Linked DNA regions of Oryzias latipes. The protein of the gene in region 5 purifies or fractionates together with the protein of the main gene of each other region. This does not show direct contact. Links are inferred from orthologs where the notes say so. Each region holds a gene or a part of one and is shown on either strand. Other genes may lie near its edges. The genes, in order: bcap31, sqstm1, rab2a, bsg, vdac1 and atp5f1c.

What was found.
Region 1: the proteins of vdac1 (region 5) and bcap31 purify together in Homo sapiens (affinity purification with western blotting; 3 studies listed by BioGRID, with this or other methods). This does not show direct contact. The link is inferred for Oryzias latipes from reciprocal best matches to the Homo sapiens genes VDAC1 and BCAP31.
Region 2: the proteins of vdac1 (region 5) and sqstm1 purify together in Homo sapiens (affinity purification with mass spectrometry; 3 studies listed by BioGRID, with this or other methods). This does not show direct contact. The link is inferred for Oryzias latipes from reciprocal best matches to the Homo sapiens genes VDAC1 and SQSTM1.
Region 3: the proteins of vdac1 (region 5) and rab2a purify together in Homo sapiens (affinity purification with mass spectrometry; 3 studies listed by BioGRID and IntAct, with this or other methods). This does not show direct contact. The link is inferred for Oryzias latipes from reciprocal best matches to the Homo sapiens genes VDAC1 and RAB2A.
Region 4: the proteins of vdac1 (region 5) and bsg purify together in Homo sapiens (affinity purification with mass spectrometry; 3 studies listed by BioGRID, with this or other methods). This does not show direct contact. The link is inferred for Oryzias latipes from reciprocal best matches to the Homo sapiens genes VDAC1 and BSG.
Region 6: the proteins of vdac1 (region 5) and atp5f1c fractionate together in Homo sapiens (co-fractionation; 3 studies listed by BioGRID, with this or other methods). This does not show direct contact. The link is inferred for Oryzias latipes from reciprocal best matches to the Homo sapiens genes VDAC1 and ATP5F1C.

Annotation. Positions count from the first base shown.
Region 1 is NC_019865.2:31,911,399-31,914,898, forward strand, and holds part of bcap31 (B-cell receptor-associated protein 31), read right to left. Parts: intron 2,391-3,500; coding exon 2,290-2,390; intron 246-2,289; coding exon 101-245; intron 1-100. UniProt on the Homo sapiens protein: Functions as a chaperone protein. Is one of the most abundant endoplasmic reticulum (ER) proteins.
Region 2 is NC_019868.2:3,816,862-3,820,960, reverse strand, and holds sqstm1 (sequestosome-1), read left to right. Parts: upstream 1-1,299; coding exon 1,300-1,468; intron 1,469-1,905; coding exon 1,906-2,001; intron 2,002-2,094; coding exon 2,095-2,363; intron 2,364-2,489; coding exon 2,490-2,634; intron 2,635-2,706; coding exon 2,707-2,775; intron 2,776-2,844; coding exon 2,845-2,981; intron 2,982-3,055; coding exon 3,056-3,320; intron 3,321-3,395; coding exon 3,396-3,556; 3' UTR 3,557-3,670; downstream 3,671-4,099. Other genes in the region: mrnip (MRN complex-interacting protein), read right to left, coding at 3,840-4,049. UniProt on the Homo sapiens protein: Molecular adapter required for selective macroautophagy (aggrephagy) by acting as a bridge between polyubiquitinated proteins and autophagosomes.
Region 3 is NC_019875.2:20,930,226-20,934,375, forward strand, and holds the start of rab2a (ras-related protein Rab-2A), read left to right. Parts: upstream 1-1,350; 5' UTR 1,351-1,523; coding exon 1,524-1,569; intron 1,570-4,150.
Region 4 is NC_019862.2:7,117,246-7,120,745, forward strand, and holds part of bsg (basigin), read left to right. Parts: intron 1-1,726; coding exon 1,727-1,892; intron 1,893-3,500.
Region 5 is NC_019872.2:4,158,087-4,162,267, forward strand, and holds the start of vdac1 (voltage-dependent anion-selective channel protein 1), read left to right. Parts: upstream 1-1,381; 5' UTR 1,382-1,499; intron 1,500-3,584; 5' UTR 3,585-3,587; coding exon 3,588-3,654; intron 3,655-4,181. UniProt on the Homo sapiens protein: Non-selective voltage-gated ion channel that mediates the transport of anions and cations through the mitochondrion outer membrane and plasma membrane.
Region 6 is NC_019881.2:22,190,559-22,194,578, forward strand, and holds the start of atp5f1c (ATP synthase subunit gamma, mitochondrial), read right to left. Parts: upstream 2,801-4,020; 5' UTR 2,742-2,800; coding exon 2,701-2,741; intron 2,180-2,700; coding exon 2,145-2,179; intron 1,496-2,144; coding exon 1,364-1,495; intron 1,289-1,363; coding exon 1,081-1,288; intron 1,010-1,080; coding exon 866-1,009; intron 768-865; coding exon 703-767; intron 629-702; coding exon 473-628; intron 1-472. Other genes in the region: kin (DNA/RNA-binding protein KIN17), read left to right, coding at 3,482-3,595, 3,684-3,778, 3,862-3,905.

The DNA.
Region 1 (3,500 bases), on a different chromosome or scaffold from region 5:
ATTTAAATTAACGCGTCTGTCATCTGAATGAAATGCAGACACATTAACTGATCTATACCATCAGTGTGCCATGGGTGAGTGGGAGTGTGTGGAGACTCACAGGCAGAGCAGCAGGGCGAAGCCGGCGATGTACTCGTTCCTCTGGGCTCGGAAAAGCTTCATGTGAATGTGCTCAATGGCGGTTGGGTTGTTGGTAACGTCCACTTTGTCCGACACACTGTACTTCCTCACCTCTCGGAACGCATCTGCACACAAACACACCTTCAATGCAGTGACCGCTCGCACACACTGCTGACGCACAACCTGAAGGTCAGCTGTTCAAAGTTTGGGTCAAAAACTCATCCTTGACAAGAACAGAAGCTCTTTCCTCCTCATCGTTTCAGTAGGGCGTGATGCTGCAGTGAACGTGTATTTTTGAAATGTTCACAGTAAGTTAGGGAAAGCTGGGAAACAGGATGGCCACATGGCCTGCTTGAAACGACACAGACCTCTCAAGGTAAGTACACATTGGACATGTGACCCGCATAACAAGAACGTGCTGAACACGGGTTCTTGAGTACACTTTTAGCACGTGCTCACTAGGCTGTCGCTATTCGACTAGCTCATGTGGAGGAGGAGGTTTTGTGCGAAATGTCAAAGGAGTGCAAATCACGTGCATCTTGCTACATTTTTCTGATATTAGAGAGACTTGGTGTCAGAATTCTGGCCGGGTACAAACAGCAATCATTAATTCCTCCTTTATGACCAATTTTCAAACGGTCGGCACCCTGAGATTAGAAAGGACGCTACCCGCACGTCACCGTCAAATCAGAATCCCCGATTAGTCAAAGTTCAACTGGTTTAACTTTCAACACATGTTCAATGGCAGCAGGTTTTGTATGTAGAGCTCGAAAGCGGACAAACAAAATTGCTTAGCTACGCCTGAACACAAGCGTTTTAAGCACAGAAGCCTGAAACGTGCATATATGTTACGTAGACTTTTCATTGGAAGTGGTCGCTTGAACGAGCATCGCAGAGCCCGGTGAACGCAGCATCAATGACAGTTCCCTTTAACTTCTTCTACAGAAGATGAGAAACATGAAGAAACTAATCGATTCTGACTTGTTTCAATGAAACTGGATGGCAAAAATGTGTTTGGCAAACTGGAAACTGCTTCTACCAGGTCTCAGGCATTGAGCGTGTAGGACGTCACTGTTGAATCACAGCGAGCGCTCAGCTGTTGTAGTTGTGCGTTTGTGTTCGGATAGAGCAGCATCACCACACTGCAGCTGCCAGTAAACAAAGAGGGGAGAGTTAAGTAAGGAAAACTGCCTGACCTAAAGTGTCCGTTATCGTAAATTTATGATAACAGACTCTTTAGGTCAGGCATTAGCCCTTACTTAATGGACATCCTGCAGCCAATCAGCATCTAGTATTCACCTCCATTATGGCATAAAGCTAAATTACCTTTTCAAACAACGGTGATAAAGCCATCACTGTTCACTGCACGTCCACTCTTCCATGCAGTCTAAGCTACGTCTCTGTGTTTTAAATTCACAGCATTTTTTTCATAGAAATCTGGAGAATGTTTGGATGGTTACGGTGCTCACAGCTCTGAGCTTTTCTTTTAAACTGAAGAAAGGTAAAAAGCTTTCCTCATTCAAAGTGCAGCGCCCCCTGGAGGGCAGAAAGCTACAAGTGCCCCACGCTCCTCAGAACGTTGCTGCCACATCAGAGACGGACAGAGGAGCAAACAGAGATCTGTTGGAGAAAGGAGGCTGTGGATTCCTTCACGGCGGTTCATGGCTGAAGGGTTCTCCACCCTGCAGGCAGAGCCAGGAGGGCTTTGCTTCAACCGCTGCATACTGGAGCACGTCTGCCCGTCATAATAGAAAATCCTCTTTATTTATTCTTTTTCCAAAAGCATTGCTGTATGTTATAGTTTTGGACAATACGTTAAATAAAACAAGGATAATTATTTTCTGATCAAAATTGTCTTTCTAAAATACTTTTTAAAAAGAGTAAAATCTTTAATTGTGCCATTTATCTATGTAGAAGCGCCATTTAACGATTTCAATGACTTTTTTCTCACTTTATTTAAAAGTATCTTCTTTTTTTAGGTATTTGCACAAACTTATTGGTGTCAAAAAAACAGGTTAATACCTCACACGGAGAAACAAAAACAAAAAATCTGTTGTCAGACTCAGCTTTCAATCCTCCTTAGACTGATCAAGGTATTTAAGGTCAGAGGTCAACATAACGCAGCCATCAGCAGCTGTACGTTTCCTTTGTCTTCACACAGTCTCATACCGATGAGAAGGAAGACGAGGATGGCGATGGCCACCATGAACCAGGTGTTTCCATAGAGAGCGATGGTCTGAAGGATGCGAGACTTGAAGACCTTGCTCCACCTGTGAGAGTGGAAAGAACAGAAGTGAAGACAGAAGCCTGAGAGGACCAGTGCAGACAGTTCCAACCAGCTGGGACTCTGCCCATCAGGGGGTCAAACTCATTTTCACTGAGGGCTACATCAGCATAGTGGCTGTCCTCAAACGGCCAGATATAACTTATACCTGTAACTAAATGTAATGAAAAATAAATGTAACTACTCCTTAATGTTAAACAACTCATTATTTATTTATTATAACTTTTTAAAGTGACAAATACAGTTGCATAGAAAACATATGTTTGCTTGTTACTTTAGCAAAAATGCTTTTACATTTTGTCCGTTTATTAAAACCCACATAACTCCATTAATGAAGGATCAAACTGTCCAAGTGAATGAAAAAAAATAAGAGAAAACTGAGCTAAAAAGAACATGTGTTATAGTGTAACATTTTACTAAAAAAAGGCTGCACACAGCTTTGCATCCAACTGATGGTTTGATGACAACAATTTTTCTGCATACAGACCTGCAAACATTGAACAATTACAACAGCTACACATACATAATATGTAATAAACTAAAGAACATTTTTATTTTAAGAAATTAAAAACTCTTATGTCTCTTGCGGGCCACATAAATTAAAATGGAGGGCCACATTTGGCCCCCGGGCCTTGAGTTTGACACATGTGCATTAGAACATGTTTAAATATACATTCAAGAAGTCAGAGCTAAAACTGTTAAATATCAGGATTCCCATGATTTTTCATCGAGTTACTAAACCTCCACACTGAACGGAATGAGCCATATGATCACTCTAGAACAATCCCATCATGCCTCTGGCAAACAGAGTTGCAGCTCTTTTTCCATCCCTTCTTAAGTGGGGGTCCACACCCTCAGTGCTGTTCTGCTGCAATCATGAAAGAAAGCTGCTGGATATTTTTGTCACAGAACATCTGATTTCTAATGATGCCAGATTTAAGAAAAGTTCCTTCTACCTAAGTATCATTTGCCGATATCCCAGACATAAGTGCTGGCTCCTCCCACCTCTGCAGAGCACAAAGTGGGATAGAAAATGATGGAATTTCAAAAGCCATTTGAAGGAAACGATTATGACGAAGCAGTAAGCTGAATTCCA
Region 2 (4,099 bases), on a different chromosome or scaffold from region 5:
TACACACAACTGAACAAAGCATGCAAATTCCCCATGTTGGTGAATTAATCATTAAGATTTGAAGAGAAGACCTAAAGGTGGACAGAATATCAGGAGATTTCCTCATAAACATTGACTATGAATTTATCATTACTGGTAGTTTACAGATGTAATCCATTTACTACACTTCTGAAAATTGTTTTTCTTTTTTTCCCTCTGAATAGGAAAAATAACTGAAGAATTTTAGACATCAACTCCCTCTCAGTGATCCAGGACAAATAATGGTAGACATGAAAAATGCTTACAGTTAACTAATCATGAGTATTTACTAGAATACAATATATTAGTCTTCATGCAGCTATTTTAACCTTCCATTAGGTCTCTTTGGCTTTAAACAAAAAACCCTGATGATTTCAATAAACAATGGCGTTGTAGTTTTGGTTTATTTATTTAAGTAAAGTTGTATCTTAGGTTTAGATTGTTCACTTGTCTTCGATGTTATAAGGCCTGATTATTTATTATTATTTTCTTGTGACAAACTTTTTTCCTTTTGACTTGGAAGTAATCTCTAAAACAATAATAATTTTAAAGAATAAATATTACATTATAACATTAACAAGAATAACATAAAAATGTAGGCTCCTCCTTGAACAGCTGAGAAAAAATGAATTACAAATTTCAAAAACATATAACGTTTTTTTTCTCCAAAAGAAAAAATCTAATGAAGTTTAACTGTTTTAAGGAAAAAAATTCCAATGTTAAATGAATTATTTATTTAAAATAACTGACATTTTATGGTTAGTTACTAATTTCTCTTTAATGAACTTCCATAGTTTTAAATTGAAAAGATTAAATTTTTTCCCTTGTTTAGTCTGAAACACTAAAAGTACTGAAGCAGTCTAGAACTTTCCTACTAATTCTAGAAGGATCCATTCCGATGGGCCACAGGTTTGATAAACACAGGAGGACGTCTCTAGGCGATTCATCGTTTCCGTGTTTTCATGGCCGCAGTCTGCCTTCTCACGGTGACTCCGCGATGTGTGTGAACTGTCTGCTGGGATCCTGATCACGTGACACACAAGACGGCCTCTGATTGGACCTCTGGAACCGGCGTTCCTTTTACACGGACCAATCCGCGGCTGCGCAACTGTTAACAGAATCACGTCACCTGCGGAAGTAAACATAAAAGAGGCTGAAATTTATCGCTGCGTCACAAACTGGGATTTTTCTTGGACTGTTCAAGTGACGGTTTTGCGTCTGTGTCTCGGTCCTGCTCCCGGTGTCAGAACTTTGTGGTTCGGAGTCCACAGCAGCAGCAGCATGTCTGTGACGGTGAAGGCTTACCTTCTGGGGAAGGACGAGCATGTGAAGGAGATCCGCCGCTTCGCGGTGGACCAGGACGTGTCCTGCAACTTCGAATATCTCAGCAAGAAAACCGCGGCGGTCTTCTCCAACCTGATGAACTCCTCCTTCAACCTCTTCTACAAAGGTGAGCCGCATGGGCCGGGTCAGACAGAGCCGGGATCCGCTGGGTCTGATCGGAACCGTCATACTCACTAACCTGGAACCGAACTTTTTGTCAATACTTTATTAAACAGCCGCAGTAACGCGGAAGACCAACTTAGAGAAACATTCGAGTATATAGAAGGACTGTAGACATTTGAATCTGTACAAACATAATCCGCCCACTGACTTATTTAAGAAACAGCTAATTTAAAGGGATTGCTGTCACGTGACGCATGTAGCCACGCCCACAAATTTCTGTCCTTTGATTTGTGCGCAATTGAAAATATTCAGTTGATCAGGAGGCCCGAAGTTTAGACCCCCCCCCCCCCCCCACACCCACACACAAACACAGGCGGAGTAGGTGGGACCTTATGACGTAGAGGGGAGGAGCTTCAGGTGTGATTCCGGTTTATATTTCAGATGAGGATGGAGATTTGGTGGCCTTTTCTTCTGATGATGAGCTGATGATGGGCCTGGGCTGCGTGAAGGACTCCACCTTCCGCCTCTACATCAAAGGTAAATGCACGGCCTCCTGTGTGAGATCAGAGTGACCTCCCAGCAGTCCTCCCTCACGGTTTTTTTTTTTTTTTTCTTCCTGAACTCTGACAGAGAAGAAGGAGCACCGCCGTGATTTCCCACTGCATGCCCTACCCCCTTTCATGTTTGGACACCCACCACCCCATGGCCCCCCTCATGCTCCACATCACGGCCCTCCCCCCGCCCTGCACCCTAACGTCACCTGTGACGGCTGTGAAGGGCCGGTTGTGGGAATGCGGTTCAAGTGCTCCGTTTGTCCCGACTACGACCTTTGCTCCACCTGCCAGGCTCAAGGGAAGCACACTGAGCACGCTTTGCTGCCCATCTGGCACCCCCTGCAGGTGAGTTACTCCATCTAACCATCTAATCGTCTTTCCACTTCTGTCTGGACATCGTGCTGATTTAAAAGAAAGGACTTTTTGGTCAAAGCCAAAATGCACTGACTGAACCAGAAACTGTGTCTGCAGTGGTTTCCCCGTGGAAAGTGGATGAAGAGAATGAGACACTGCATGTGGAACCAGAACCAGAATCAAAACCAAAACCCAGAGCAGCAGGAACAGCAGGACCAGCCAAGGCCATCAGCATCTTCGGGTGACGGTGGAGAACCATCAGGTGAGAGAAACTCAAAAAACGTTTGAGCCTAGGGCATTAACATGCTCCCACCTTAACCTCTGACCTCTGCAGCTTCCCAGGCTAGTGTGGACTTCCTGAAGAACATTGGGGAGGGGGTTGCCGCCATGTTGAGCCCCCTGGGTGAGTGTACATAGTGGAGTTGCTGTTTTTGGGGGACAGGCAGGAAGTGATGTCATGATTTCCATGCAGGAATCGACGTGGACATTGATGTTGAGCATGACGGGCAGAGGTCGAAGGTGAATCCACCCACTCAGGCTGGAGGGGGGGATGACAATGTGGCAATGGATGTAAACGAAGGGGAGTCTGCAACTGCTGAGAGGTCAAAGGTCAGTCTGTGTTCACTGATCAATGACTGAAATGAACGTGTCAACAACTGACCCTCGTCCCCACGTACACGCAGGCAAGCCGGGACTCTGACGAGGAGTGGACTCACCTGAGCTCCAAAGAGGTGGACCCGTCCACGGGGGAGCTGCAATCCTTAGACCCCAAGAACCACGAGTGCGAGCTGCCGTCGGGAGGGCAGCAGGGGCCCCCGTCGGGAGGGCAGCAGCCGTCGGTAGGGCAGCAGGGGCCCCCGTCGGGAGGGAAGCAGGGGCCCCCGTCGGGAGGGCAGCAGGGGCCAACAGGTCTGCGGGAGGCTGCGCTGTACCCCCACCTGCCTCAAGGTGAGTCTAGTTCTCACAAGTATCATTTGCTATGACTGTTGCCCTCTTGTAAGCTCCTCCCTCTGCCCCCCACAGAGGCGGACCCCCACTTGGTGGAGTCTCTGGCTCAGATGCTGTCGATGGGCTTCACTGATGAGGGGGGCTGGCTCACCAGACTCCTCCAGGCCAAAAACTTTGACATTGGAGCGGCTCTGGACGCCATCCAGTACGCCAAGCAGCCCCGCCCACCACAGTGACCGCACCAGCTGCTTTATTTAACCTGAGTTTCTATCTGTTCAACTGTTAATCAACTCCTTAACCTGTTTCTGTCTTTTATTAATCTGTTTCTGAACAATAAAAACATGAAGGAATCCGAGTGGGTGGAGTCTTGATACACACCTGTACTGCCAAGTGCACAGCAGGCTGCTTTTGAGAACCAAAACAGTCCAAATGAAACACTAAATGTAATTTTATATCACCTGTTTCCACGGCAACACCTCCACCAGCAGCACACTTGAACCAGACTACACATAGGAGCTGCTAGAAGTCAATACTGAAGTCTTCCTCAGTTTCGAACAGGGAGGAAACACTGAGTCCTGGGTGGGGCATGTTGGGGGCTTGACTCCGCCCACAAGCTGGAGGCTCCTCCTCTTGGATTTCGGAATCAGATTTGAGAGAGCAGGCTGAGCTAAAGGCGCGGGGATGGAAGTGAGCTTCATCAGCAGAACGTCTCATTGCTGGACCAATCAGCTGCAGATAAAGAACACAGTAGTGAAAGTTGGATGACAGAAACACCAGAA
Region 3 (4,150 bases), on a different chromosome or scaffold from region 5:
AAAAACAACAACACCAACGTTCAGTTCAGGTTCCTACAGAGTTTTGTGCTCCTTGTTCTGTTAATTTTTTTTTCTTGAATCATACAATTCTCATTAGTTCGCATGATATTACAATGTATTTTTGTTATCAGGAAGACTATGTCGGGATGACATCACATAATTAATAAATAAATTAAATGATAAAAGGTTATTTATATAATATTAATCATTTTTAATCTAACTTTTTATTCTGAAGCATGGGGGTGTAAACATCATGATTTGCAGCTGCTTTTCTTCAAAGCAGGACGACTGATCCGTATTAAGGAAGTGATAAATGGGGCAATGTATGGTGAGATTTTGGGCAAAAGCCTCCTTTGAGGCCCTCTGTGAGAGGATTTCGCATGAAGCATGTCTGGATCTTCCAGTATGACAGTGATCCCGAACACATCGTCCAAGCAATGAAGGAGTGGCAACAAAAAAAAAGCATATCAAGGTTCTGGAGTAGTCTATCCAGCCTCTGGATCTCAATCCAAAATAGAGAATCTGTGGAGGGAATTTAAACAGCAACAGCCCCAAAACATCACAGCTCTTGAGAAGATCTGTAAGGAAGAACGGACCAAAATAGCCGCTACAGTGCAAGCCTGTTGAATATTTCCAGGAAATACTTTGTCATTGAGGGTTTACAAATACTGAGGGGACATTTCTTTTCGACCAAATACTTGTTTTATAGATTTTATCTTCACCCTGTATAGACCCAAGCACGTTTTTTTTCTCCTTATAATTGCGTGGAGTCATGTTTTTTTCCTTTTTTTTTTTACATAGATGTTTTAGTCTGTTATTTGTAAGTATCTTTTTCTTCTTTTTATTGTATTTTTTTCTTTTTTAGTTTTTCTGAGCCACACAGGCACTACGTTTTCTGTTTGGTCCTTGTTTTCCCTTTTCTCTAAATACACAGCCTACAATTGTGGATTAAACTAACTGACCAAAGCTGGGTGTTGCTCATTCTTTTGTGCTTTCAGGACTTTCACATTACTAAAGTAAATACTATTATGAGTAGTCATTGTTATACCCTAAATTGATAATATAAGTTAATTGCAGTTTGTTGTACATTGTTCATTTTACATCATGTTTTACCTCTGCAGGTTTTAATGAAAGTATTAATGCTATTCAGGACTCGTGTACAAATCTGTTGTAAAATTACTTATGAAGAACAGTAGCATTAATCTTTAATGTGAAAAAAAGGTTGAAGGAAACTTTCACAAAACTTATCACGGGCATTTTAATAATATATTAACAAAACGAGATATAAAAAAATCACAAACACGAACACACACGACAAAACTCCTGAGCATGCCTTGAACGCATCATTGTGTAGCGTGGCGAGGGCGGAGCGTATGACGTCGAGCTGAAGCTCGAGCTGTTTATTGTTCCTTCCTGAGCACCGACAGAGAAAAACAAGCTGTCAGCTACTCATTTGATACGGTTCACGGCCCGTTTTACTAAGGTGTAACGGTTAAGAAAGCTGACTGTACAAAGCAGGTGCTATGGCGTACGCGTACCTCTTCAAATACATCATCATCGGAGACACAGGTAAGTAGCATCAAGTGCCAGCTAGACTCAGCGGTAGGCTATCTTTCAGTTAGCGGCTATTTCCGCAGTGTTGGATAGTCCAATGACGTGGTAAAAGCAGAGACGCAAGGGGTGGGATGACAGCTCCGATTTTCTCCCCCGTTTAATACATCCGAACCAAAACCAAAAAGAGAAATAAGAAAAATAAAAACGGTCGTTCCGTAACTAGCTCCCCCCCTCACCCCGGTGCCGTAGTAGCTGTTGACACCGGCAGACGTTGGGCCTTTTGTCTGCTTGCGTCGAGGGTGGGGGTGTTAGCCGCTAACTAGCATGCTAACTGGCTACACCTCTAGAAAAGATTACAAACAGCTGTCACGACAGCAAGTTAGCCTGTTTTTTCGTGTCAGTATACATAAAAATAAGTCGTAGCATTCAATTATTTTTGTTTCTGAAACATTATCTTTACTAGTTTTGGAATAATTTAAACTTAATATTAGACAGGGCCATGATAGCGTGAAGCTAAAGCTCGTAATAATTTTTCAAATGGCGTAGACAGAGCTTGTTGACTCTTAGTTTGACCACATCTATTTTCGCGGTTCACATGTCCCCACTATACTCGATTTCTGCTTTCTATTGGTAAACGTATTTATGGTTTGGTTACACAAATGTCTTCGAGTGTTATCCGCTTATTTTTTTGACAGATTGTATTGATGATGATGGGCCTGTTCAAATACACGAGCAGCAGGTGCATATGAAGAAGAACTGCTGTGACAAGAAAATCTAGAATCTTTAGTTTGACATAAGCAGATTCTCAGGAATGTGATGGGGACGTCTGATCTTTAATGGCTCAATCGGATAGAAATACCACGTTGGCTGAATGAAAATTAGACAGCAATTGAAGGTAAACACACCGAAAAATAAAACTTTAAAATCATAAACTAGCTCCAAACATTGTAGAAAAGATCCTTTCTTCTCTCTTCTGGACTACATGGTTCTTGCAGAAGAGGTTCATGTTTTTATTTGTTAATTTAAGAGGTTCATGTTTAGCTCGTTATCATTTATTCCTAGTTATCAAAGCTGTTTACAGCTCTGGCTAATATACCAGCTCAATTCGGAGGGTATTTTCAGAAAAACAGACCACACAGCTCACATCAGCGGGGCTAAGAGTCATCAAAATCTTGAAATGATAACCACAATATGTGAGTGTAAATTCTCCAGAACTCTCAGTTCTAGATTTCATAATGAAGATCCAGCGTAGAAAACTTGAACTGCAACTTTGTATATCCATTTTGGTTTAAACAGGTAATTTAAGGTTAATGGTTACCTTCTGGTGAAGGATTTTTACTTTACTGGGTCTTTAAAATTGTATAATTATTGCTTGGAGGAACATAAAACTGCAGTTCCAACTGCAGATTGTAATAATGAATCAAATCATGTGGTTTTAATAAAAATAACAGTAATTGCGTCATCAACAAAGGGGTTACTAGCTTGAAAAAAATTCCTTTTGCTCAGGTCATCAGCAGTAATTGGGTAAAACATTCTCTGTCTGAATTCACTCACTTCTCCCTCTTAAAAGACTATCCAGTGTCATTGATTTCACTTTTCACTTCAGTTTGGACCCATGATCACTACTTTTTGTAGTTTTTTTGTTGTTTTTTTAACTTAAAATATGATCTCACCCGTTTGTCAAAGTAAAAACCTTAAAAAATGTACATTCTACAAAGACTATTTATGAATCTATTGTGTTCTGATCATAAAAACTTAATGATTTATTTAAAAACAATGCATTCATTCAAATGACAAATTGTTCAAATGCAATGTATTGTTACCTGTTTTCGCCTATCCAGTGACCATCATGCACACTAGTTTTTTTGCAGAGGTTTCTTGGAAATTTCCAAGCCACTGGATTTTGGAATCATAGATTCATAGTGAGTAGTGTGTGAATTCTGACACTTTTTACTTTATTATAGATGGTAAAGTGACGAAAATATTGACGTTAATATACAGTGAAAAAAAATCATCACAATTGAAAATTTGAAATGTATCAGCATTGACAGAAGGAACATCGTCTTGGTAGTTTGGGGTAAAGTATTTTGATTTTACACATTCCTTTTTTAATGATAATTATAAATTGTTATTGGTATCACTTCTTTCTGTGCTGACAGGTAAAGAGACTATTTTTGACATAAATATTAAAGCCATGCTTTTCACTGGGCCACTTGTAATCACCTTTAATGTATCTTGTAAATCACAAACTAATTTCTCTGTGCGGATGCTAATTTGGTTATATGTAATGTGCTGTCCTGCATGCAGACATCCTGAGAAAGAAATCGTTTTCTTTGTACTCCTCGGCTGTATAAACTACACACTGAAGCATATCTTATGGAAATTTATCTGTTTTATGTTCATTTTTGACATCATAAATGAACTTTAAATCATTGGTGTTACAGGTAAATATCAAGGGATAGTGTTTAGGCTCTTGTTAATTTTTCATATCAGAAGTTTGATAAAAATTGTATTTCATTTTTATCCCCACTGAGTCCGTTTTCATTTAATTCCTTAAGAACAGAATTAACCTCATCTTTCATAAGAAAACTATAAT
Region 4 (3,500 bases), on a different chromosome or scaffold from region 5:
CTCAGTTGTGAGAAGACGATAAAAAACAAATTGAAGTGGTCTTGGCTGGAAAAAAAAAAAAGATTTTTAAGGTAGTGTAGGTCAAATACTTTTTTGTGTAAAATAATCTCAAAACCACATTTTGAAATAATTTCAATTTTAGTTTTGAGTTTCAGTTTTTATTTTGAATACATTTCTTTATCTAATTTATTTGTATTTCCTAATTACCACGATTTAGTTCAGTATAGTTGACATTCTTCTTCTTCTTCCACTTTCGGCTTCTCCCATCAGGGGTCGCCACAGCGAACAAGTCGCATGGTAAATTTGGCAATGTTTTACGCCGGATGCCCTTCCTGACGCAACCTTCTCAAACTGGGCTTGGAACCGGCAAAGGTAGAGAAGGGAACAGGGAGCAGCCCGGAGTCGAACCCGGGTTTCACGGACGGAAGGCGCCACAAACCATAGTTGACATTAATTATAAGTATTTGATGGTTTGGACCCGCACTCCCTTAAAAAATAATGTTTACAATGTTTAGCTTAGTTTGTATGTTTGTTTTGATATTTCCCAGATTACTTAGTATTGGTGTTAAAGAATTGATGTATTATGTTATAGAATTATAGTTTAAAGCAGATCCCATATTTTGATGTAATTATAGTTTGAGAAAACAGTGCAAGTGGATGTTGTACATCAGTCATTTCTAAAGCAGAAATAATGTATAAATAACTGAGGTATTTTCATAGAATATCATAGTTACTGGTGTTCTTTTTGCCATTTGGGGCTTTGATGTTACTATATTTTAGCAATTGTATGTTTTGCAGCTTTAAGGAAAAGCGTAGATTGTAGGATTGTGTTACTTTGAGCAATTTTCCAAATTCTTTTTTAGGACCAGCAAGTCTTTAATGGAGAGTCAAACTAGGGGTTTGAATGACAAATCATGATGCTCCAATTAGTCTTAGTTTCTTGATAAAGAAGTGAATAACTAGCTGCCAGAATGCACCAGAATGCATCTAAGACCACGTATTTTTCCAAAATTTCGCTCTGTGCCCGCCATATCGCTCAAAGAAAAGTTCAGGGATTTTTTCCTTGCCTGACTTTCATCACTGCAGTTTGTTAAAGTAAAACGCATACTTTTGATGTTTTAAAAACAAAAGTTGTTAAATGTCTAGATTTACGCTGCTGTTAGGTGGAAAAGGTTCTTTTCCTCTTACTAACACTGGAAACGTTCCTTTTTCCTCTGCTTATAGACATTTTTCTAGTTTAGATTCCCATTAGCTCAGAAGAAGACAACAGACTGTAAAATATGTGCATCCACACAGCATTTTTCTTTCTGTCTTCCCGCTTGTATTTGAAATAAAACATTTGATTTAAGGTTAAATTGCTGTGCTGTAACCTCTACTGTTTAGCAAACTTTGTTGCTTCTTCTGCATGTATTGAAGACACCTCACACACACACCCTCGTGACCCTTCTGTAGCATTGTTTCCACTTCCCTTTTTGTTTTGTCATCAACTGGAGAAAGCTCGTCACTTGGAGGAGCTTTCTCCATCTCCTCCTTTGAGTAGAATAGGATGAATAGCAACAACCGTCTGTTGTGGCCCATATTTACACATTAGTTACTGTAAATATGGAACGATTTGGAACGGCCAATGCTTGTGTTTAACAACATTCACGTGGGTGACATAAATGGTGATTATACAGCTGTGTATGGAGCTGTTTTATATGGTCTTTTTTTGTTTTGTTTTGTGAAGAGCCACGTATCTTGAAATCTCCTGATGTGGTCAACCAGACTTCTGCCAGTCTCAGCTGCAACTTGACCAGCACTAGCCTCCAAAGTTCTGGATCCTTCTGGACGCACAACGGCAAACTCATTGATGGTTCAAAGTCTGCTTCTGCTACTAATTATGCAGTTCATCGGTAAGAAAATGCAGCAGCTAAAAGCTGAATGGGAAGATGTGCAGTTTCTCTTGTCATTGAATTTCCTGTCCAACTGAAATGGTTTACAAAAACGCATTCCTTCAACGAGAATGTATACTTTCTAGACTTTCTCTCTCATCAAAGTGCTGTTGCATCATCTAGTTTTCTATCTCTGGTTTGCTGCTCCCAACTATTCTGCCTCTGGTTGCATCCATGATGTATAGATGGACCGTGAAGACATTCGGCTTCACTCCAGGGCAAAGGGCGCCAATTTTTTTCCTGACCTTAATTTCCTATTTACATAACAAAAAGGCTTACTATAAGTACACTATATTTGTGTTTTAAGCCGAAGGGAAAAAAATACTGTTTGAAAAAGATCGTATTTCTGATGTAGAAATCGTGCTAGGTGAGCCACTGCGGCAATTTTTAATGACTTCCTGTCGCTCTGCAGAAACTCTTACATTTGGACCAAAAACACCACACTCATGGTAAAAAGACAACTGAGATCACTTTGAAAATTAGGGGTGTAACAGTACAAGTTAAGCTGAACTGTTTCGGTATGGCACGTTTTTGTCCGTGCCCTATACTCTGCACGACCCCATGCAGTCTCAAAGAGCATACAAGCTGTTTTTTTTAACTTTTTTGAAATTTTGAACACATACAAACTTCGTAACAACATTAACGTCACTTCTCTTCACAGCTCCCTGTCTAAAGGCCCGTACACACCGGGATGAATATTCGCCAGGCGTTATTCGCCAGCGTTTTTCGCCACGTCTTTTGTGTTCACACCCAGGCGATTTTCGCTGACGATGAGCCGAGCGTGCATGAACATGCAATTTCCTTCCCTGACATTAGATGGCGCTTAATGTAAACAGAAATACTCCTGTACACAAGGTGGCGCTGCGCAACTTTAGGCTTCTTAAAGTCGCTTTTCACTCAGAAGAAGAGAGCAAGTATTTACGCGCTAGTCAGAATAATAAAAAGAAAACATGAATATTTCAAGCACCAGTAGCTCCAACTGGTACTTGGTAAGGGATATTTAAGAATGTCCGTCATTATTTCTTCGCGGCAGTGTAGACGCTACTTGACGTCTATCTTCTTCGCTGGTATGTGTGCTCAGCAAGGCAGTTTTGTGTTTGAGCGCCCCCAAGTTGTGTTTTACTGTAACTTCAGAAGCCCCAGACACGTGTGCAAAAGCGCCATTCTCATTGGTCGAATAGATGTCGCGTCGAAAAAACAAACAAACCCGAGGCGTTTTTTTTTTTGACGCTTTGACGCGTGGCGTTTTTTCGCGTCGGTGTGCACACTCACATTGGTGCCCTTTGTTTATTCACGAGGCGTTAAACGTCCCGGTGTGAACGGGCCTTTATGGTGAGGGATTCAACACACAAGATACCACACTTCCTATGAGTCTTAGTGGCTATAGGCGGGGCTAACCCCCAGGTCGCCACAGTATTATCCTTGCACAGAGGCGCAACTAATGTTAGCCGTGAGTTTCTGCAAAGATGCTATTAGGTGACGGACAGTAAGCATGTCAACATATGGCTAATGCAGATGTGAGGCCAGAGATGAGCACCCCCCCCCCCCCCCCCCCATCTCCTTACGCTC
Region 5 (4,181 bases):
AAATCAGGCAGACATCTGTGAAGAGAATATTTTACTAGCAAGTAATTATTTAACAATTTATGTCTCTTTACCTAATAAACACGGCAATATTATGGGATTTTAGTATCTATTAAAAAATTGTATATCAAAACTTGTAAGAAGTTTTAATGAAAGCTAATTTGATATGAAAAGGAAAAATAAGAAATTAGAGTTGAAATGCTGCAAAAGAACAAAGAGTGGACTCTAAAAAACAAACAAAAGGAAGAAGAGTAGGATTTTACCCAAGAACCATCAACTCTAATTTAAGCAGGAAACGGAGGTTTTGACAACATTTTGGTAACAGCGACATCAACTGGTCAAATAATAGATTACAACCTGATTCCAGCCGTCTCCATCACAGTCCCCACCTCTGACTCCACCTCTTTTAAACCTTAAACTTCAGACAAAAAAAACACACAGCCACAACCTCATTTAATATATTCACTGCAATTTCTAGATTAATCAATAAACCTTTTTTCTTTTTGAAGTTGAGGATTTCAGTGAGTACTGTTGTGAGAGAGGAAGTTTCACCTGTGAATGGTTTTGCTTTCTCACATTTAGTCCTAAAAACATGTGAAACAGTATTGAAACAAAACAAAAATGGGTATGACTGGGATGGAGATGTCCAAGTTTTAAATGAAATTTTATTTTAGAGCTGAAAAGAAGTATCCCTTAACAATCTCCAAGAATCATTTTTTTAGTTGTAAATTATATTTTGATGCAGTAGTTATATAAGCTATTATATGAGCTAATTGTTAATGTTCTATTGCAAGTTTTTTTTTATTTTATCTTAATTTTAGATATCCAGTGATGAGTCTTTTTATGCTGTGTCCTGTGAAAAGCAAGACAATTTGAGGAAGGGAAAGAAAAGCTATTTACCAATTCTTCTTTTGAGAATTTCTTTTGCTAAATGTGATATCCTATTTCAGTAGTTGTTACTAACAAAACACCTGTTTAAATTTTTAAAAGTAAAAAAAAAATTTACCATTCAAAAAAAACAAAAACAAATAGAGATAACTCTTTTTTAGCTGGTTAAAATGCTTTTTAAACACAAACGTTAGTCTGCAGAGTTTTACCTGCTCTTTTTAAAAAAATCTATGTATCACATTTTATTCTTTGCAAAGGTCCTCATCATTACTATTTGTTAAAAGTGAAGTGATTCGTTTGGAATTTGTTTTAGGAAAATTACTTGATGAAATTCTAAGAGTACAAAAGAATTAAACAGTCAAAATAATGTGACTGATTTAATCTATGTAATGTCATTAAATACATGTATAAAAAGAAGATAGTGTCCACTAACATTTGGCGCTTCAAAAAAAAATTGGAGTGAGCTGTCTTGCAATGAGAGCCCGAATTGGATCTTTGTTTATGACGACATGCTGTCGGAGTTTGCGTGATTTTCAACGTGCGCGTGACGCTACCCCTCTCCCTCCCCTGTCGTTGTGCAGTTGACAATTCTCAGTTCAGGCTGTTCCACGGAGGTAGGCGTTTTAGACTTTCCTCTGAATATTATTTAAAAATGGCGTCGTTTGACCGCAGCTGCTCCTGGCTGTTACCGGGGCCGCGCCTCGCCGCGGACTCCCGGGATGGTCCCGCCATCCTGACGTTTGGAACGCAGCAGGATGGTTAGGCCCTCTGCTTTTATAAGCCATCTCTGCGGCTAGCTTTGTGGCTAATGTCTCGCACTGCGGTCAAAAAAACTGCTTTGCTGTTTGGAAAATCGTGTGTCTAATTTTCACTTTAAATTCTGCAGTAGCTAATAACGGCTTCTTCTTTTGAAGCTTGTACTTTATTATATTTGTACCCACTTTTATTTCTGTTTTACGTCATTAAACAGCGTGCTAATCGGTTAGCAGGCGAGGTCAGGAGGATGCTCTCCTCTTAACCTTCATTTCAGGGAAATGTTCACCTTCGTGGTGTTTTTTAGGAGAGCAAAATCAATGCAAAACACTTTCCAGGAATCACTTTTCTTCCTGGCTACTGCTGTATGTCTTTAAAAAACGCATGAGTGATGCTGAAGGACGTTCGGAAGCCGGCTCAAAGTTAAGCTAAAGATGTTATGAGTGGTCCCTGCCTGTCGTGTTAATATTATTGCAGGGTCCTTTTCCTTTTTTCTTTCACATTTGTTGAAAAACGGTCAAATAAAAGCAGTTTAGGTTTTGTGGAGGGAGTGTCGTGTCTTTGACCTCGTGCGTCCTCTCTAGGGTTCGGACATTTCTGCGTGAAGCCTCGCCAGCACGCGGCAGACACAGCAGGTGTACCAGTGCAGACGGCGTGTCTGAGCATTGCGAGTGGGTCTGAGCTGCTTAATGAATGGGCTATTTCCAGGGGGAAGCTGGGGCATCACATGAATTATACTAGTCAGTTTCCTGGCTGAGGTTTCACATCTATGTTAAGAAGGACTGACAGACTTTAGCAATGACACCAGAACAACCCAAAACTAATGATGGGATGTTTGAAAATGACGTAAAAAGGAATAGAGCAAACATAAAGGACTTAATGTGGTAGTTGTTTGCTGCATTTTGAATTGAAAATCTACTAAAAGCATAAAATAGGACTTGTGATGGCTGCTGATTGGCTCCCGTGAAGTGCTTAATGCTGTTTAATACAAAGCTTTGATTTCAGCTGGGGTCCACTTGAATACCAATCTGCTGCTTCAGATCTCAATGAATTATTTAAAAAAAAAACACCTGCAAATTTAGTTGGAGTTTTCAGGATCCAGCTGCCATTCGCTCAGCTTACCCTTGAAATTCGTGTCATATCTACTAGATATTACGTTGTCGCTAACTCTGCACAAGTCCTTATTTACATTTGTGCTCTGTAAATGGGTCTCTTTATGTGGGGGCGATTATGAAATATTTGCATGACTGGTTTTGAAAGAGGTGGACAAAGAACTGGTCTGTGCCAATGTCTGAGTGCCGCCATGAAGCGGTTGGCAAAGAATCTACCCAGCAACCACCATGGTCCTCATGAACTTCTCTGTTTTACAGAGTTTCAGATATTTGTTTTCAACTACTCTTAAAGAGGTTTAAAAATACTTGGTTGAATCTTCGGTGGTATTCAGACTGGATACATTTGGTCTGCTTAAAGTGAACCAGAGTTCGTTTCCCCACGATATTCTGGAACAAATTTTCAGTCTGAATGCACCCAACTAGTGGATCCTGCTTCAGGACCAGGAACTGCTCTTGGACCATTTTTAAGGTGGTCTTGGTTTGTTTACAGTTTGACTGAGCTTTGGTTCCATTCTGATGCATCTGCCCTAAGTTTTCCTCAACTGAGCTGGCATCCGGCTCAAAACTGTACAGCTAGATAGCTCGAATATTGTTAGCCATTTTTATTATTAGGTTGGGGTTGTAAGCTTCCGAGATCGCCTATAAACAGATGGATGATAGGCATAAACCATGTCATAGAAATGAAAAGACCCCTGGGGAAGCTTTTAATATGGTTTAAAAGATGATCAGAGCAGGTCTTTAAAGTTAAGCTTTTACTTCTTTCACCTGTCCCGTCATCTTCCTGTTACTCTCAATCCGTTCTCAGGCTACACCTGCTTTTTCTTTTGTTTTCAGAAAATGGCTGTACCTCCCACCTATGCTGACCTTGGAAAGTCTGCCAGGGATGTCTTTACAAAGGGATATGGTGAGCCCTTATTAGCCAATCAGAATTCTCCAAGGTTTGGATTACAGTTGAGATTAAAAAACAAAAAGTCTGGATTTCATGTAAAATAAAAGTAGCTATAACACTTGTTGGGATTATTGTAATTTTCCAGGACTATTAATACAAACATCACCTCTTATTTAAATAATCTTTCCTTGTTTCGTTGCTCGTCTTTATTGTGGTGTGAAGTAATCCCCAAAACGTTTTTAGAACCGTCTAGTTTCTGTATAAAAATGTAACCTGACTGTAACCTGATGGGTGTATTGGGTCCATGTTACAGAACCTGCTCTGACAAAAGCCAGGGTAGAGCTATGTTTGTGTATAAATAGACAACCACTGATTTTCCATTGACTTCAATTAAGTCCCTTTAAATAGGGTGTTGCACATAGACAGTTCTGTAAGAATGCCTTGAACAAACATCTCAACAGCTGCAAAGGCTGTGACATGATATAAGAGCTTTTATCTGATTCAGTTGTCATTTATCAGACATGCTCATTAAACCTTTTTCA
Region 6 (4,020 bases), on a different chromosome or scaffold from region 5:
TAAATAAATCTTTGTTTAAGGTAGCCACGCCCCCCTCAGCTTCAGTCAATGAGTTTTTATGCAGTTCAACCCTTTATGACCAACACTGTTTTCAATGAACTACTAAAAAGTTGTGAAATTTAGATGTTCCTGGAGGAGGAAACCTGTGCTTCACATGAGGCTGTTGACTTCCAGGTTGAAGCTCATTTACAATCAACTGTAGCCAGGCCTGTTCACTAAATAACCACTAATTATAGATCACGAGAGCACGTTTAACATCTACATGTTAATGAAGTACGAGTCCTTGAATGACACATGCTCGTCCCGAGCATGCTCAGTAGTGTCTGTCTGCAGCTGCACGTGCACTCCAACACGTGTGCACGGACAGCTTTCAAACAGAACGACACTTGATCAATAAAATGAACTCAGTGAGTAAAAATAAACACAACAAGAAGTACATTTAAAAAAAAAAACGGATCTGAAAGAGGCTCACAGGCGTTCTTGCTGGCGTTGTCCATGGCCGTCATCCTGGCGCTCTGCTCGCTGGTGGAAGACTCCTTCATTGCCAGGTAGATGACGTTGACCAGAGCGAACTCCTGGTAGTTCCTCAGCACGTCAGCGTCGATGTCATCATAGATCCCCATGCTCTCTGTGGAAGAGGGGGGGGGCACGTTCGGGATCTGCGGCTCCGACTGAGAAAGGTCAAAGTTGAGTTTCTTCTACCTGAGTTGGCCACGATGTCCGTGGAAAACAGCGGCTTCTGGTCCGTCCTGTAGGAGATGACGGACCTGCGGGGGGGGGGGGGGGGGGGGGGGGGGGGTTAGTTAGTCCGGGATTCAAAGCAATACTTGTGGCATGCGCCAGATAAAAGGGGCGGGGTCCACACCTGAATCTGTTGAAGATGACCGAGCCCTGGTCGAACTCGTATCCGGAGTTGAGCAGCTCGGTGGCGACGATGGAGGCGTCGTTGAAGCTGGGGGGTATGCGGCCGACCTCCTTACAGTTCAGGATGATGTGCTTCCCGTGGGTTCTGCTCGGATCAACGGATCATGAAGCCAAGGCGAGTCTGAATCCTGAGAGAACCGTCAGAACCTCTCAAACCTGTGCAGGAGGCCTCTCAGCTTGTCTCCCACGTTGACCACCATCACCTCCTTGCCGGCGCTGGTCAGGTTGGCGATCTCGCTCTTTATGACCTTGGCCACACCGGAGTGGATGGCGCCGCAGAGCCCACGGTCAGAAGTCACGCCGACCAGCAGGTGCTTGGAGGTCTTCTCCTCGGGCGCCTTGATGTCAGCCTTCTCGTACAGCGCTGTCGTGCAGAAGAAGAGACGTTTTTCAGCACGGCGCCCGCCACAGCAACCGCGGCGTCACCGCCAACACACACCTAGAGCTCCGGTGCCGTAGACGCGGGCCGGCTTCAGCTGCCTCTCAGCGCGGGCGTATTTGGCAGCGGCCACCATCTTCATGGACTTTGTGATCTTCTGGATGTTCTTGATGGACTTCAGCCGAAGGGTGACTAAAGGAGAAGAGCGGTCACATGATCAAACACGAAACACAATTAAGCCTTTGTAAAAACTTTATTCGTCAAGTTAAGTTTTTCTTCTCAAGTTCTTTCAGATGCAAAACATGACAAGTTAGTTAACGAGCAGATATGGGTTTGCAAAATACAAATAACATTAAATCCATATTTATTTTTTACAAATTCAGGAAATGAATTCACTTTACTTTAATAATTGGTTAAGTGAAATCATCTGTCACATCGTTTAATTTAGTTCATTTGTTTTATTTATTTTTTTCTCTAAAAAAAAGAAACAATAACAATTTTCACTACGCAGTTTGTTTGTTTTTACTTTCTAAAGCTCAGTTATAACTAAATTAAATCTTCAGGGGTAACCTGGAAATTACAGGCTTTTATTTTTATATCAAACCATCCTGGAGATGCTCAGTTATACCTAAATAAGTCTCAGAAAGAGTTCATCTTAACAATCCAGGCTTTTATTTTGTTAGGAAATCATCACGAATGAATGACAGTCTTCAGAGATGCTCCGTTATGTTGACATATGTAATTTTTCACAATAAAAGTAAAGACATAAAGTTGTTTAACAATGAAACCGTGCAGACAGACAACCAAATGGAGCATTTTAGCTTTGGGGATAAACACTTACTGTCCTTCAAGGTGGCCATGTTCCTGACCTGCCCACTGCGAACACAATCAGTTCACGTTAGCGTTTCATTCACTTCCATTCATGTACAGATTTCAGTGCAGAGCTGGACTTTCTGTCCTCTCGCAGACACCATGTAGCATTTTATGATATAAGAACTGTGGCGTCCTAAAGATATTTGCTAGGTAGTATCCTTATTAGCTTAGCAGCTAACGCTAATGCAACGCAAAAAGGCTAAAACAAACAGAAAAAAACTACTGTAAAAGCATCTGCTGTTGGAATACACATGTACAGAGATACAGCATCTATTTATAGACTTTGTGTTACATTTCAAAAGTTACAGCAAATTAAGTTAGCGCTGTCATTAGCATAGCCGGTTGAGTTAGCTTCATTCATTAGCTGCGGCCTGCCTCTCTTAGCACGTCCTTGTACAACTGATGTGCAAATCCTGAATTCAATAAGCCACATTTTCGTTTCTACAACACTTTAGAATTTAGGTTTGATTTAAAAAGACAATAAAAATAAAATAAATGTGATGTTTGATGGTATTTGGGTTTACCATTGTGGGAGGAAAACCAAAGCGCTGCTCCGGGCGAACATGGCTGCAGCGATGAAGGTCAGACACCCAGAACTGCGCACGCGCAAGCCTACGCTTGTCGGATGATAACTTCAAGGACCACTGGGAACTTTTTCCTGCATTGGTTTTCAAAATCAAAAGCTCTTTGTATATGTCCACATGTGAATTTTTTTATTGACATTAAAATAAAAATGATTGGAAAAAATGAGCCCGCGTTTCTTAATATAAAACCATTAAATTTGATGTATTTTTATATATTTTATTTTTTTACAGAAATACTCTTAAGCAGAGTCTTTACCTATTTATCATTTTAACAGGTAGAGCAAATCAAAACGCATGTTTAAATCGCGCATTTAAGGTTTAGCACAGAAAGGAAAATATTAACACAAATAACTGAACTACAAGCAAATCAAAACCTTAAAGAATTTTATGTAAACAAAAACTTTTTTGTAATATTGCTAAATAAACACAGGCTTTAAATAATCCATATCATTCATAAGATCACTGAGAAAAGCACAATGATTTTCTTCTTGTTTAAACTCATCACACTGCTTCTGGCGTATGAAGTTTTTAAAATCCGGAGCTCGTGAGAAGTCCATGAAGGTATCAATTGTTATCGCGGGATTTTGTACTTTTGCGACAGTGTGACGTCTGTCGGCGGAAACGGTTAGCTTGCTTCCTCGGTTTATCTCAAAATATTCGGGAAAATATACCCAGATTTGATATTTTTTACAGGTTTAATTGTGTTTTTTAACAGATCAAAATGGGGAAAGCGGAGTTTTTGACCCCGAAATCGATCAGCAACCGAATAAAAGCCAAAGGTCTACAGAAGCTGCGATGGTATTGTCAGATGTGTCAGAAACAATGTCGAGACGAGGTGAGATTTTTATATTATGATCTTATTTTACACCTTTGGTTGTTGTTGGAGAGTTTAAACGGTGATTTTGTTCTGTTTTGGGGTCTAGAATGGCTTCAAGTGTCACTGCATGTCCGAGTCCCACCAGAGGCAGCTGCTGCTCGCCTCAGAAAACCCCACAAAGTTCATGGACTATTTCTCAGAGTGAGTCCTCTACTAACCATCCCAACTGGAGCTTTAACACTCACCTTAAAGATGTTTACCATGTCTGTTGCTGTCTGTTTCAGTGAGTTCAAACGCGACTTTCTGGAGCTGCTCAGGAGGCGATTTGGTGAGAAAAATACCCTTCAGAGAAGCACTTAAACTAAGTCCTAAGAACACAGTTTCCCTTTATGACGATGACTTTATTTACGTCTTTATGCCTTTGAACAATATATTAAACACCC